3 linked regions of the Schizosaccharomyces pombe genome follow. The protein of the gene in region 1 binds, or shares a complex with, the protein of each later gene. Each region holds a gene or a part of one and is shown on either strand. Other genes may lie near its edges.

What was found.
Region 2: tim17 (region 1) and tim21 share a complex: the UniProt entries of both Schizosaccharomyces pombe proteins name them as parts of the TIM23 complex.
Region 3: tim17 (region 1) and tim50 share a complex: the UniProt entries of both Schizosaccharomyces pombe proteins name them as parts of the TIM23 complex.

The regions. Positions count from the first base shown.
Region 1 is NC_003424.3:1,449,401-1,453,296, forward strand, and holds tim17 (TIM23 translocase complex subunit Tim17), read right to left. Parts: upstream 1,975-3,896; 5' UTR 1,811-1,974; coding exon 1,679-1,810; intron 1,605-1,678; coding exon 1,242-1,604; 3' UTR 527-1,241; downstream 1-526. Other genes in the region: cysteine synthase-like protein Cys12, read right to left, coding at 2,557-3,744. UniProt on the Schizosaccharomyces pombe protein: Essential component of the TIM23 complex, a complex that mediates the translocation of transit peptide-containing proteins across the mitochondrial inner membrane.
Region 2 is NC_003423.3:4,397,295-4,401,050, forward strand, and holds tim21 (TIM23 translocase complex subunit Tim21), read left to right. Parts: upstream 1-2,004; 5' UTR 2,005-2,025; coding exon 2,026-2,697; 3' UTR 2,698-3,107; downstream 3,108-3,756. Other genes in the region: uap1 (UDP-N-acetylglucosamine diphosphorylase Uap1/Qri1(predicted)), read left to right, coding at 46-1,473; adn2 (transcription factor), read right to left, coding at 3,322-3,756. UniProt on the Schizosaccharomyces pombe protein: Essential component of the TIM23 complex, a complex that mediates the translocation of transit peptide-containing proteins across the mitochondrial inner membrane. Required to keep the TOM and the TIM23 complexes in close contact.
Region 3 is NC_003423.3:1,399,269-1,403,633, forward strand, and holds tim50 (TIM23 translocase complex subunit Tim50), read right to left. Parts: upstream 2,561-4,365; 5' UTR 2,509-2,560; coding exon 1,150-2,508; 3' UTR 520-1,149; downstream 1-519. Other genes in the region: COPII-coated vesicle-associated protein Sec31, read right to left, coding at 1-240; protein aim19, read left to right, coding at 3,979-4,045, 4,087-4,101, 4,150-4,243, 4,303-4,322. UniProt on the Schizosaccharomyces pombe protein: Essential component of the TIM23 complex, a complex that mediates the translocation of transit peptide-containing proteins across the mitochondrial inner membrane.

The sequences.
Region 1 (3,896 bases):
CTGTTGTGGGAATCGAACCCACGACCACCATCACCCTAAGATGGTATCATACCACTAGACCAAACGGCCACTTTAATTATAATAATTTTTAAACTTATACAATGAAATTAAAAATAATATGAGTAATATGATGGTATTTCTATAGTTTTAGTAATTTTGTGGGATATTTGGAGGTCTTTTCATAACTTAATTTAATGGGACTAAAGTATTTCATTAATGATCTAATTTATGCTTATTAAGTAAGGAGTTTGTTTACTCCCTTAATTTAGCGTTAGTAAACAAGAATACAAGTTTCTGTAATTTAAGAGTATGAATTTCAATTGCAATCATAATACCATCTCATACATATGGAAGTTATTCTCATTTACAGTTTACTTGCAGGGTACTGCAACTACGTGTAAGTAAATTGCATAGTGCTTGTTTCGATAATGGAAAATATATTTTTGAGCTACTGCTAGCTTCTGAGTACTATTGTCTTCTATGCTAATTTAAGCAATTTTGTCTAATTGAATTTGTTCTAAATAAAGCGAAAAAACAATATAGTTAGAAAAAGCACATTCTTTAGAAGCCTATCGAAACTCTTACATTTTAATTTACAAGCTTTGGTGCATTGAGCAATATTAGGCAGTCGATTAATTGATCTATTTCATCAAGCAGTCTAATAAAAAGCAAACACGATGCCGATTCAAAGAATTGCAGTAACGGTTTGAGTCAGTGGAGTATCAGATTCTAGGATACGAGAAAACGCAGAAAGGTATTCTTTTATTGTATTTGCATGGATTGTAAACTACTGGTAATAACGTTACAAAACCAAATCATTACTTTAACAAAGAAAAAGAAATAACGATCAGCCTACGAGATTAAAGCCCTAAAATGAACAAATTCACAACCCTTAAGCGTATTAATGGAAGTTCATGAAAAAATTGAACAGGATACGTATGCTGTCAAAAACTATTTCCAAAAAATGATTTATGTAAAAAAGATGGAGATTAGATTCAGTAAGTTCCGGAAAAGGCTTAAATGTCGAAATTTCAATAATCCGCCAAGTTTATATAGAGCTAACTTAGTATAAAGGAACCGGAAAACGAAAGATATTTTCAAAAAAATTGGAAAACAAGGAAATAGTGAATATGACAGATGACAAGGAATTTTTGGATACAATACGTTGATTGTAAGCATTAAAAATTATTAATACTTCGTTTTATCGCACAATTAAAATAATTTACAAGTACCAATCATTTTTAAACTGCAGCAGGAGCTGCAGAAGTGGAACCGGAAGCCGGGGCATCAGGTATAACTGGAGCGACAGGACGATTATATTCCGCATTCATACGGCCCAAAGCAATACCCAAACCCTCAAAAACAGCCAGAATACAAGCGCATCCAATTGCACCGTTACGAGTAGCCCTCCAACCGCCACGAACTGCTAAAGCACCACCGGTAAAAAAGCCTGCAATAATAGCGTTCCATGGGTCTTCTTTGCGACGAACACCTTTGACGGCACAATCAAATGTACTAAACAAACCACCCCAAACACCAAAGTTACCTCCCAAAACGGGAGCTCTAGTTTTAGCAGCTGCAATAGCAGAAATTCGTTTTTCTCCCTAATTAATAATTTCATTAGCAAATGCCTTCATTCTATTGCGCATTCAACTTTGCACTACTTGATTTAACTTACCGGTGGACTGTTCCTCCATCCTTTGATGGAATGCCAAATGGCACCACCTATAGTACCCATGGAAAAAGCAGCACCGAAATCATTCAAAATCACATAAGGACAAGGATCCCTGGTATGATCCGCGCTAGCCATTTTTTTCTATTTTCTGAAATGTTTCGATCCCTTGTGTTATCCAAACTCTCCGTATTTAATCAAAAAGCAAATAACCTTTCTAATTAATCGTAAAAAATGCTAGTTTACAGCCAGGTCGTCGTCTACTGACTGCACGTCAAATTTCGCAGGTTTGAACTAGGTTTACTCTTGCAGGCAACTCTATTACTCCCTCTTACTCCCTGTTTAACGAGTGCTGACGATTCCGCAAACAGAATTCAGCATCGTAAAGCGGAGCTTACAATACATAGCGTAGCTCAACGTAATACAAATTGTCATTTGAAAATTGAATAGTTCAGCTTAGCGGACAGTTGGATGAAGCTTGTTTTCTGTGCTATATAAATTGTGAAATTTAAAACAAATTTATGAAGGCATTTTAGTTGTCCACATGTTTCTTTCTGAAAGTGTAACAATACCTTTACAACTACGAAAACAATTGAAAAGTATGTGCTATATGATATTTTCGATATTAGACAGAGCGATTTATTATGCTTTAAAAGTCGATATACTAAGAAATTTCAGTTTTTTTGGTAATTGGGGATAATCAAATTTTTTTTTTTTTTAATAGCAAAAAGTATTTGTTCAACTACGAATGAAAATAAATTCTACTAACATTAGGAAAACAAACATAATATTAGGGCATACATTCACGTTAACACAAACAAAGAAAACAGAACTATCGATTAAATTAAAAAAACGTAGTTTATCGAAACTACCAGAGGAACAACCTAAGCTTCAACAAAATCTAAGGAAGAAGGAACTTGTGGAACAATGTTTTTTTTTCGCAAGAACTCTTCGTTATACAGTTTTGAAAAATGGCGAGATCCAGGATCGCAAAGAAGAGTAACAATTCGATGACCAGGGCCCAACTTTTTAGCAAGACGGACAGCAGCGACGCAATTAACAGCAGAAGAACTGCCGACAAATAAACCATCATGGGTGACTAAGTATCGAGACATAGCTACGGCCTGCTCATCAGTTACTCTGTAAGCCATATCAATAAGGGGTTCAGCGATAGAAAAGTTGCGTGTCATTCGATTAATACCCACTCCTTCAACGATGGTATCAACCTGATGTCGCCGACGAGTTCCTTCTCGTTCAGCCAAATCAAACATCACACCGTGAAGAACTTTATGATATAGGCCACTTCCGGGAGGATCAGCAAGACAGACGGTGATGGAAGGATCTTTGGACTTTAGGTAGCGAGAAATACCAGCGATAGTGCCACCCGTACCAGAACCGGCAATAAATGCATCTAATTTTCCAGCACATTGACGCCATATTTCAGGACCGGTAGAATTGAAATGAGCTTGCCAATTCGCCGGATTCTCAAATTGATTAGCAAAGTATCCTTTGCCAGGAATGGACTCGTCGACGGTATGATTGGCAGCATTACGACGAGCCGTATTTACAAAATGATTTGGATCGACGATGGGAGCTGGAGTTACTCTTTGAACATGAGCACCCAACAATTCAAGTATGTCACTTTTTTCTTTAGATTGGTCACTAGGCATATATATACGAGAGTCATAGCCAAGTGAACAACAGAGCATAGCTATCGAAATACCAGTAGAACCGGCGGTTCCTTCATAAACAGCATTCGATTGATAAGGTACTAAATCTCCATTTTCTTCTGCTGTGCGAATCATCTGCAAAGCAACACGATCTTTAGGAGAATTTCCAGGGTTCAGAAATTCCGCTTTGGCGAGGATATCGCAGCCCGTCGCTTGCGAAAGAGATTTTATCCTGACCATTTTAGTATTTCCAATTAGTCCTTCTACTCCATTTACGATGTCTTCTTCCAACGAATCGGCTGACGATTTGACGCGAAGAGACTCGTACAAACGACGTAAAAGGTACATGAAAACTGCACCCATGGCGATTCCACTAGCTAGATCCTGATATTTTTTCGCCATTACATAAATCCTCTCGGTTTTATAATGTCAAACGTTTATATTTACACAAACTGGGTGTACTCTACGATAACACAACAACCCAACCACCAATACTGTTGGTGCTTCCAAAAGATAAAATTAACAAAAAAAAAGACGAACAAAAATCCACGAGA
Region 2 (3,756 bases), on another chromosome or scaffold:
ATTCATTTTTTTTTTTTAGACTGTATTTATAACGCTAAATACGAAATGGACGACAAAGAATTGTTTGATCGGTCTATATTTGAAGAAACTAATCAGTTACATTTGTATGATCAATTGAATTATTTAAAAAAGAATGACCTGCAAAAGTTTAGGAAACTTTTAAATCAAGTTCAGCAATTGGACTTACGGTCATTGTGGTTGAAGTATCGAAATGCTAAAGCGACAAGCCAAGAGAACAGAAAATTGTCCCCTTCAGAAGTTGGTCCACTATCTATTGTAGATACGTCTGACTCAAGTTGGTGGAGAACAGGTCTTCGGGAAATTGCTAGAGGTCATGTAGCTGCCTTAGTATTGGCAGGAGGTCAAGGCACTCGACTTGGGTTTGCTGGTCCAAAAGGTTGCTTTAGACTTGGGCTGCCTAATAATCCGAGCATCTTTGAGCTGCAGGCACAAAAAATTAAGAAATCGTTGGCGCTCGCCAGAGCCGCATTTCCCGATCAAGAAGCCTCTATAAGCATTCCATGGTATATAATGGTTTCTGAATGTACGTCAGAGGAGACAATTTCTTTTTTTAAGGAGAATGATTTCTTTGGTATTGATAAGAAAGACGTTTTTTTCTTCCAGCAAGGAGTTTTACCTTGTCTAGATATCTCAGGTAGGGTCCTTTTTGAATCTGATTCTTCATTAGCTTGGGCTCCTAACGGCAATGGAGGTATTTATGAAGCTTTGCTTTCCTCTGGTGCATTGAATGATATGAATAGAAGAGGTATACTCCATATTACGGCTTATAGCGTTGACAATGTTCTTGTTTTGCCGGTTGATCCTGTATTCATAGGAATGGCTACTACTAAAAAACTTGAGGTTGCCACTAAAACTGTTGAAAAAATCGATCCTGCTGAAAAAGTGGGTCTCCTTGTATCTTCCCATAATCATCCTTGTGTTGTAGAGTACTCTGAAATTTCTGACGAAGCATGCAAAGCTACAGAAAATGTTGATGGTCACAAGCATTTGCTGCTTCGTGCGGCTAACATTGCATACCATTATTTCTCTTTTGATTTCTTACAGAAAGCTTCTTTGCACTCAAGTACCCTTCCTATTCACCTTGCATGCAAGAAAATTCCATTTTACGACGTAACGTCTCATCATTATACTACACCTTTAAATCCCAATGGATATAAACTTGAGAGTTTTATTTTCGATTTGTTTCCCAGTGTGTCAGTTGAAAATTTTGGATGTTTCCAGGTACCACGTAGGACTTCATTTAGTCCTCTAAAAAATTCAAGTAAATCTCCCAATGACAACCATGAAACTTGTGTAAACGATATTTTGAGTTTAGGTAAAAGCTGGATTTTAAAGAATGGTGGTATCTTAAGTCCAAGCGACTGCACCTATGTTTCCCCAGAATGTAGTTTACAAGGAGAATCACTCGAGTGGATTAAAGGGAAGCAGGTTAGCAATTGTAAACTTTACTAGTTTCCTCTCCTATATTCAACTATTTTTAAAGGTTTATATAAACAATGTAACAAAGTCAATGTGATAAATTTATTTACTTTCATTTTATATTGTACAATAATCGTCGAAGCACTAATTGCTGTTCTTAATCAGCAAATCAACATTCAGGATTTCAATTACGGTTTTACTTCGATTGTTAATATATTAATTTAATAAATTAATTGACCGTGCGTTTATTGAATTTATTAGTGACTGAAAATTTTCTAAATCATCTTCCACCTAATTCGCTTTCGTTCATTTTAAAATAACCCTGACTTTTAATATATCGTTGTTTAATCATGATGTTGCATTATTACTCCTTTCTTTTCAAGCTAAATACTCTCAAATTTTAGTATGCTTTTTACTAAATTACCTGACTAACGGAATAATGAGGTGTAACAACCATATCACTGCTAAAGCTCAAAAATTTAACGAACTACATTGCATCCTATGTCGAGCTCACTAGACATTGCCTTTATGCCGTTTAGCCTCGTCACTATATACATCTTCTTTGCATCTTTTTGTATCAACTAGATGATTCGTACTATTCAAAGGCAGAGCGCTACAAGGTTTTCTTCAGCTTTGGTTCAGAGGAGATTATACTCTTTGGCTTCTGATTCTCTCAATAAACAACGGAAACCACAAGAAGAAGGGCGCCTGGCACGAATTTTCAAAGATCCGTCTAACAAAGCTTGGAAGGATTTGACGGCTCCTCAAAAAGCATACAGAACTTCTGCTAATATTGGAAATTTTTCGATTGTGATATTTGGAGGCGGCGTTTTCGGATTGATTATATATGCACTTGTCACTAGTATCTGGAAGGGCGAGGCACATTACGGTGATGAAGCTTTTGAACTTTTAAAGGCTAATGAAGAATGTCGATATGTTTTTGGAGATCACATGAAAGCCCTAGGTGAAGCCACGCATCCTCTTCGTCGAACTCATGGTATATTGACTAGTCGTGTGTGGGATCACCATGGTGTAGAACATCTAGTACTACAATTTCACTTAATCGGTAATGAGAGAAAAGGGCACGTATTTGGAAGACTTGTAAATGTTCAAGGTGACTATAAATGGGAATATCTTTTCGTTGATGTTGCAAATTACGGAAAAATCATAATTTTTGATCATACCAATTCTGTACGACAACAACATAAGAATTTTGGTTTATGGGGAAGCTTAAAAAATATTACATGGGGAAATTAGAATTTCCGAATGATAAACGCACGACGGAAAGGTATAGCTGTTAATTTCAACCGAAAAGGAAATCATTGAATTATTTCTCGATTTTAATGGTTTGATTAATGGTTTTTCGCAGAGAATTAATTTTCTAATTTACGAATTAATTTACAGGCGATGTTAATGATTTTTATCAGAATTAGCACACTTAGTTATGCAGTATTTGGATGTATATTGCAAAAAATAAAAAAATCGTCGACACTTTATTACTAATTAAGCGATCGAACCTCATGATTTGTTGTTTAATTAGTTAGTATAAAGAAGCGAATTTGTACGAGGGGCCTTTTCGCAGGGGCTGATTAATCGCCAATCTAATGTACTACCTAAATGTGTTTAGTTATAAAAAATATAAGAATGATTCAAAGCACATGAAATAATTTTGATTATTAGATATAAAGTACAAGATGTAGGCCGGTATTTATAACCGAGTACACTAATCCATATCCAACTAGCAATTAATTATATATTAAATTTTTATAATGACAAAACGCAACGCATTCAAAAAAGATGAAAAAATCTGGTATATAATTTCCAAATAAACAAATTAAAAAAGAAGAAAAACAAGGATAAAATACTTAAGTTTCGACAAAATTAAGCAGCAGTCGAGTCTTCATTATCCGGCAAATTAAACAATCCAAACCATAAATCGTCACCAGTACTAGTATCTTTTAAAAATTTGTCGAAGTCAAAATCATTTAGAAGAGCCGCATCGATGTCTGTTGAATTTCCAACATCCAATAATTGATTGTCTGAAGATTTAGTGGCAACTGTGGTAGACTCCGTAGGTGCAGAAGGAGTCGCGGAAGTATCAGGATTTGATTTTCCTGACTGATTTTGATTATCCAACTCAGAATCGGATTTGTGAACATTTGCTCCTTGCGATGGTTCCAAAGCAGGACCTACACTTGTTGCTTCATTTGTTGATGATTCGGGGTTGGTAGTGTTGACGGTCGGTGCTGGAGTTGGAGCATTTGAATTAGCAGAAGAAGGCTTTTGTTTTGATCGAACGTCCAATGGAGAACTGGC
Region 3 (4,365 bases), on another chromosome or scaffold:
ACCCATGGGCTTATCTAACGATTTCTCCCATGCTAAATCGTAAAATCTAGTCTTCACGTCGATAGATCCAACGGGTTTTTGTGATTCAGGATTTTCATTCCACAATTCAAGCAAGGTGTCGCTGTTTTTAGAACCCTCCGTCCCGGTATATCCTCCTAACGCTAACAGAGCTTGGTTATCATTCACCCCGCGGGGCGACCACGCCAACGTAGCCGTTTTGCTTATATCCTTCAGTCTCATAACTCACACCAACTTGTGAAATATTGTAAAAACTCCTTTTTATCCTGTTTCAACTATAGTATAACAGGCGAGCTAACCCGTTTTTTGTTTGGTATGATGTGTGGGCTCTTAAAGTGGTTGGTTCTTAGTAGTTTCTTTTAATACATATAGTCCACATGTGGTAGTAGTAGGCTAAAGGGTAGCATAGGTAACAAAGGATAATACACATAGTGCAGTACATAAAGCTTTCTTTGGAACTCAGTGGTAAATTCTCACTAAAAGTAAAAAAAAAATAGATGGACAATATTATTATTATTACGAAAATGAAGGAAACCCTTGATTGATGCTTATATACAAGAATTCATAGATACCCTGTTTTGGTGGAAATTTACATAGTCAGTCAAATTTTTAAATAGGATGACCCAAGAAGGTAAACACTTTAAGTGCGCAGTATAAAGGAACAAAAACTCGGAAGACCAGCGTATTCCCAGCATGGTCCGTACACAAAAAAAACCAGTAAGGAAAAAATTAAAAGAATACTTTTTTGTAGGTTGAATTGAATATAAGAAGTAAATTTTGAATAAGATTTCGAATTTGCACCAATACCCTTGGAAACGTAGGAGAAATGAATTAGAAAGAACGGAGCTTGGGTGGAGAAAAGGAATCCAAAGTACCAAAGCAAAATTGTCGTCCTGTAAAAGAAGTATTAAGACATGGGCATGAGACAAAACGAAGCCAAAATAAGCAGAATGATACGACTTGAAAGTTGTTACATTTTCTCATAAATTAGAGAACAAAATAAAGCGGAATACCGCATTGTGTCAGTCAGCAACAAGCACAAGGGACGTATTATTGTTTAATTTTTCCTTTTTCTTATTTCATTTGAATGTTCTTCAGGAAGGAAACGCTGACACGGGTTTCATCGAAAGCCTATTTGGAAGCATTTGTTTCGGGTGAAAATTGTTGTTGCTGCATTTGTTCTAACTGTTGTTGCTGAACCTCTTCTGGATGGAAGAGAAGATTAAAGATGCTTGTTTTTTGTTCAGCCTCTCGAGCCTTTTCTTCTTCAAGCATTTTAGGTCCATTTTCGTCAATATACTTTTTAAATTCAGCATAAGCAGCCTTTTGTCGCTCACGCTGTATATCAATGATTAATTTGGGTGGCTCTTCAGATACACTCCGTCCTCCAAACAAAAAGGAACTGCCTTTCTTCTTCTTCTCATTCCAATCTTCAATTAACTTGGTGCGTAGTTTTTCCTCTCTGCGGGCATACTCAAGGGGAATGTTTTTACCTTGATAACTTTTAAGAACTGGACGAACGTCTTTAATATCCATGATAGCAATAAACTCCAAAAGAGGAATTAATCCGACCAATTCCTTATCCTTAGGATTTCCTGTCCATGGAGCCATGGCAATTGCGTTATCAGGCTGTTTGGACCATGACTCGGGATTCGTATCGATCATGATCACTCGAGACAGGTCACGATTCAAGTAAGATAAATCTTTGATAACCTTACCCTTCTCATATTTGCTTGACTCGCGAGTAAGTACGGCACTAATACTTACGTGGTATGGATCAATCTTATCGATGATAGGCTTGGCAGTTGCTAAATACTGTCTAGTAAAGATGACTACTTCGTAGTACATGGAGAGATAGCCCAAGAAGTAATCTAAACCAGGACGCTTTGCAGTTCTCCAACCATGTTGACGAGTCCATTCGCTATGAATCAAAAGATCATCCAAACTTAAGACCAAGGTATAAGGTCGATTATAAGGTTCAGGAAGAGGATCAGGGAGCAACTTTTCAAATGCAGGCTCCTGATAGTAAGAGAAGAAGTTATTTGTACGGGCCTTTACCCTATTCCACCAATCTGAAGGGGAATAACCAGCAGCGGGATACTGCTTTTCTAGTTCTTTCTCATCAGGACCATAGCGACGACCGTAGTAAAGTAAACCACCTCCCGTTAATCCCAAGAAACCCCAAAATGCATAACGAGCCTGCTTTTCTCGCTTTAGCATCGTTGAACTAGTATACTCGGGTCCTTTTCCAGGGTCTCCAGTGTAGGACTCATCATTCAAACCATTTAAATCAAGTAATTTTAATGACTCTTTCGCAAGTGAAGAAGTGTCCCGTTTAACTTCTTCTTTTGCGTTTTCGGTGATTTTTGATGTGTCCTTTTCCTCTTGCGACTGGCTTTTCTCAGTCACAAACCGTTTGCCAACAAGGGGCAAAAAAGGACGAGGTCTAGCAAGCCTCAAATTACGAAAAAGAAGAGACCTGTTCAACATTTTGAATGTTGTTGTCTTTTTTATCTTTGTACGGCAATTTGTTGTTGTTTGCGTAGTGTCAGTCCATTAAGAAACCATGTATTTTCAGTGCACTGAGATATCAAACTGTAAGGTATCTCGTAAAACCTCCTTTATTTTTATGCATCTATTAGCAGGAGAATAATAAGACGGACAGTATGACTCGATAGGTTTGACAAATAAATCGAGAAAAGTATCATAAAAAAGGGAAAAGAAATGGAAAAAGGAACAGAGTTTTTGTCCTATGCTAAAAGAATGCTTGTGGATTATTATACTAACGAGGGTGGTAATGCACGGTAAGAAGGTTCATGTTTCCAGCCAAAATTTATTAGATTTATAAAATAATTTACCAGATAATTTTTAAAGAGTTAATTCCGGAATAATTTAATTTAGACAATGGGCGAAACAAGCCAGTTGTCTTTTCTCTTGCAAAAAACATCACTTACTATACGAATCCACTTTGCAAATATTTTGTAATATTGCATTCTGTATTTTCGAAGGATCACAGCAATAACTCGAGATCATATATTATTCTATCATTATAAATGAAAAAAAGAGAATTGGCGCAAAATTAAGAATTCAAGATGTTGTTTTGTTTACAAATTAACGCGCTATTGCGAGTCATCAAACAAATTTGTAAAAAATATATTGCGGCCAGAGAGGTTCGAACTCTCGCGTTTTACAACAGCAGGGATCAAGGCCGAGGCCTCTTAAATCTGCCCCCTTAGACCACTCGGGCATAGCCGCTAGAGATGGTAGATATTAAAATTTGAAATATATATCTATTTCAAACAGTTTGAAAAATTGACATCTTTTGTGAAGTTTACGCTTCATCAGGTAAATTCAAGGTAATTAAAGATTTTTATACAGCCTTGTGATTTTACTTCAGCTACACTTTAGCTTTCGAATCAGTGGCCTTCGGAAATATGAAAAGTCGTTAGCGTAACAAGTCGTAGCCTTCAAATCAAATTTCCTAGTTTGCTTTTGTTTAAAGGATGATTTTCTAATTTAATGTCAATGTCTGCACATTTATTGATTTTCGGTATAAATCTGACTGGATAGTTGACTCGAGATATCTAACTTAATACGTTCATAACATGCAAGTCCATCCTTGCAATATTGAACCAGAAGTATGATCCGTTAAAGATAAAGACCTATTATCATTAATATATTTATTGTGAACGTGAAATATACCATAAGTACATTCCTCCAATCCTAGCAAGTGTTCCTGTTACAAATGAAAAAGCCACAAATCAATGCAATTTAAGTTGATAGATTTTTAGACATAAATTTATAGAAAATATTATGTTATTTAAAATAAAAAGCAAAAGATACAAATTACTGCTGCCCAGGTTTATTTCTCATCGTCTAAGACATTACGCAAGTGCAACTCAGTCTCTCCCATCTCACCTTTGTCTCTTGTAAACTTAATCTTCCTTGTAAGAACTCATAATGGAAAATAAAGAACTCAGAAAATCATACTTCCAAAGGATATATCAAAGCTATATCCCTGCTTATGGTATGTGAATCAACTTCACAACGTGAACTAACTAAATTTAGCCTTTGGTGGTGCTTGTATGCGAAATTAATTAATTCAGTATTTAGCTAATTTCTATAAAACAGTAATTGCTTCTGTACCTAGAGCATTTAAACGACCCTATGGCGGTCCTTTCGTTCCTGGTTGTCTTTTGTGTGGTGGATTCAATGCTATAGGAGGGTATTTACAAATATACTTATTTCTTTTGTACTGTTCTATTTTACTAATTACTTTTTCAGTCTTGCAATTGCTAGTGGTGGTAAGTGATTTTGGTGACTAGTATTCCAATTCATTATATGTTG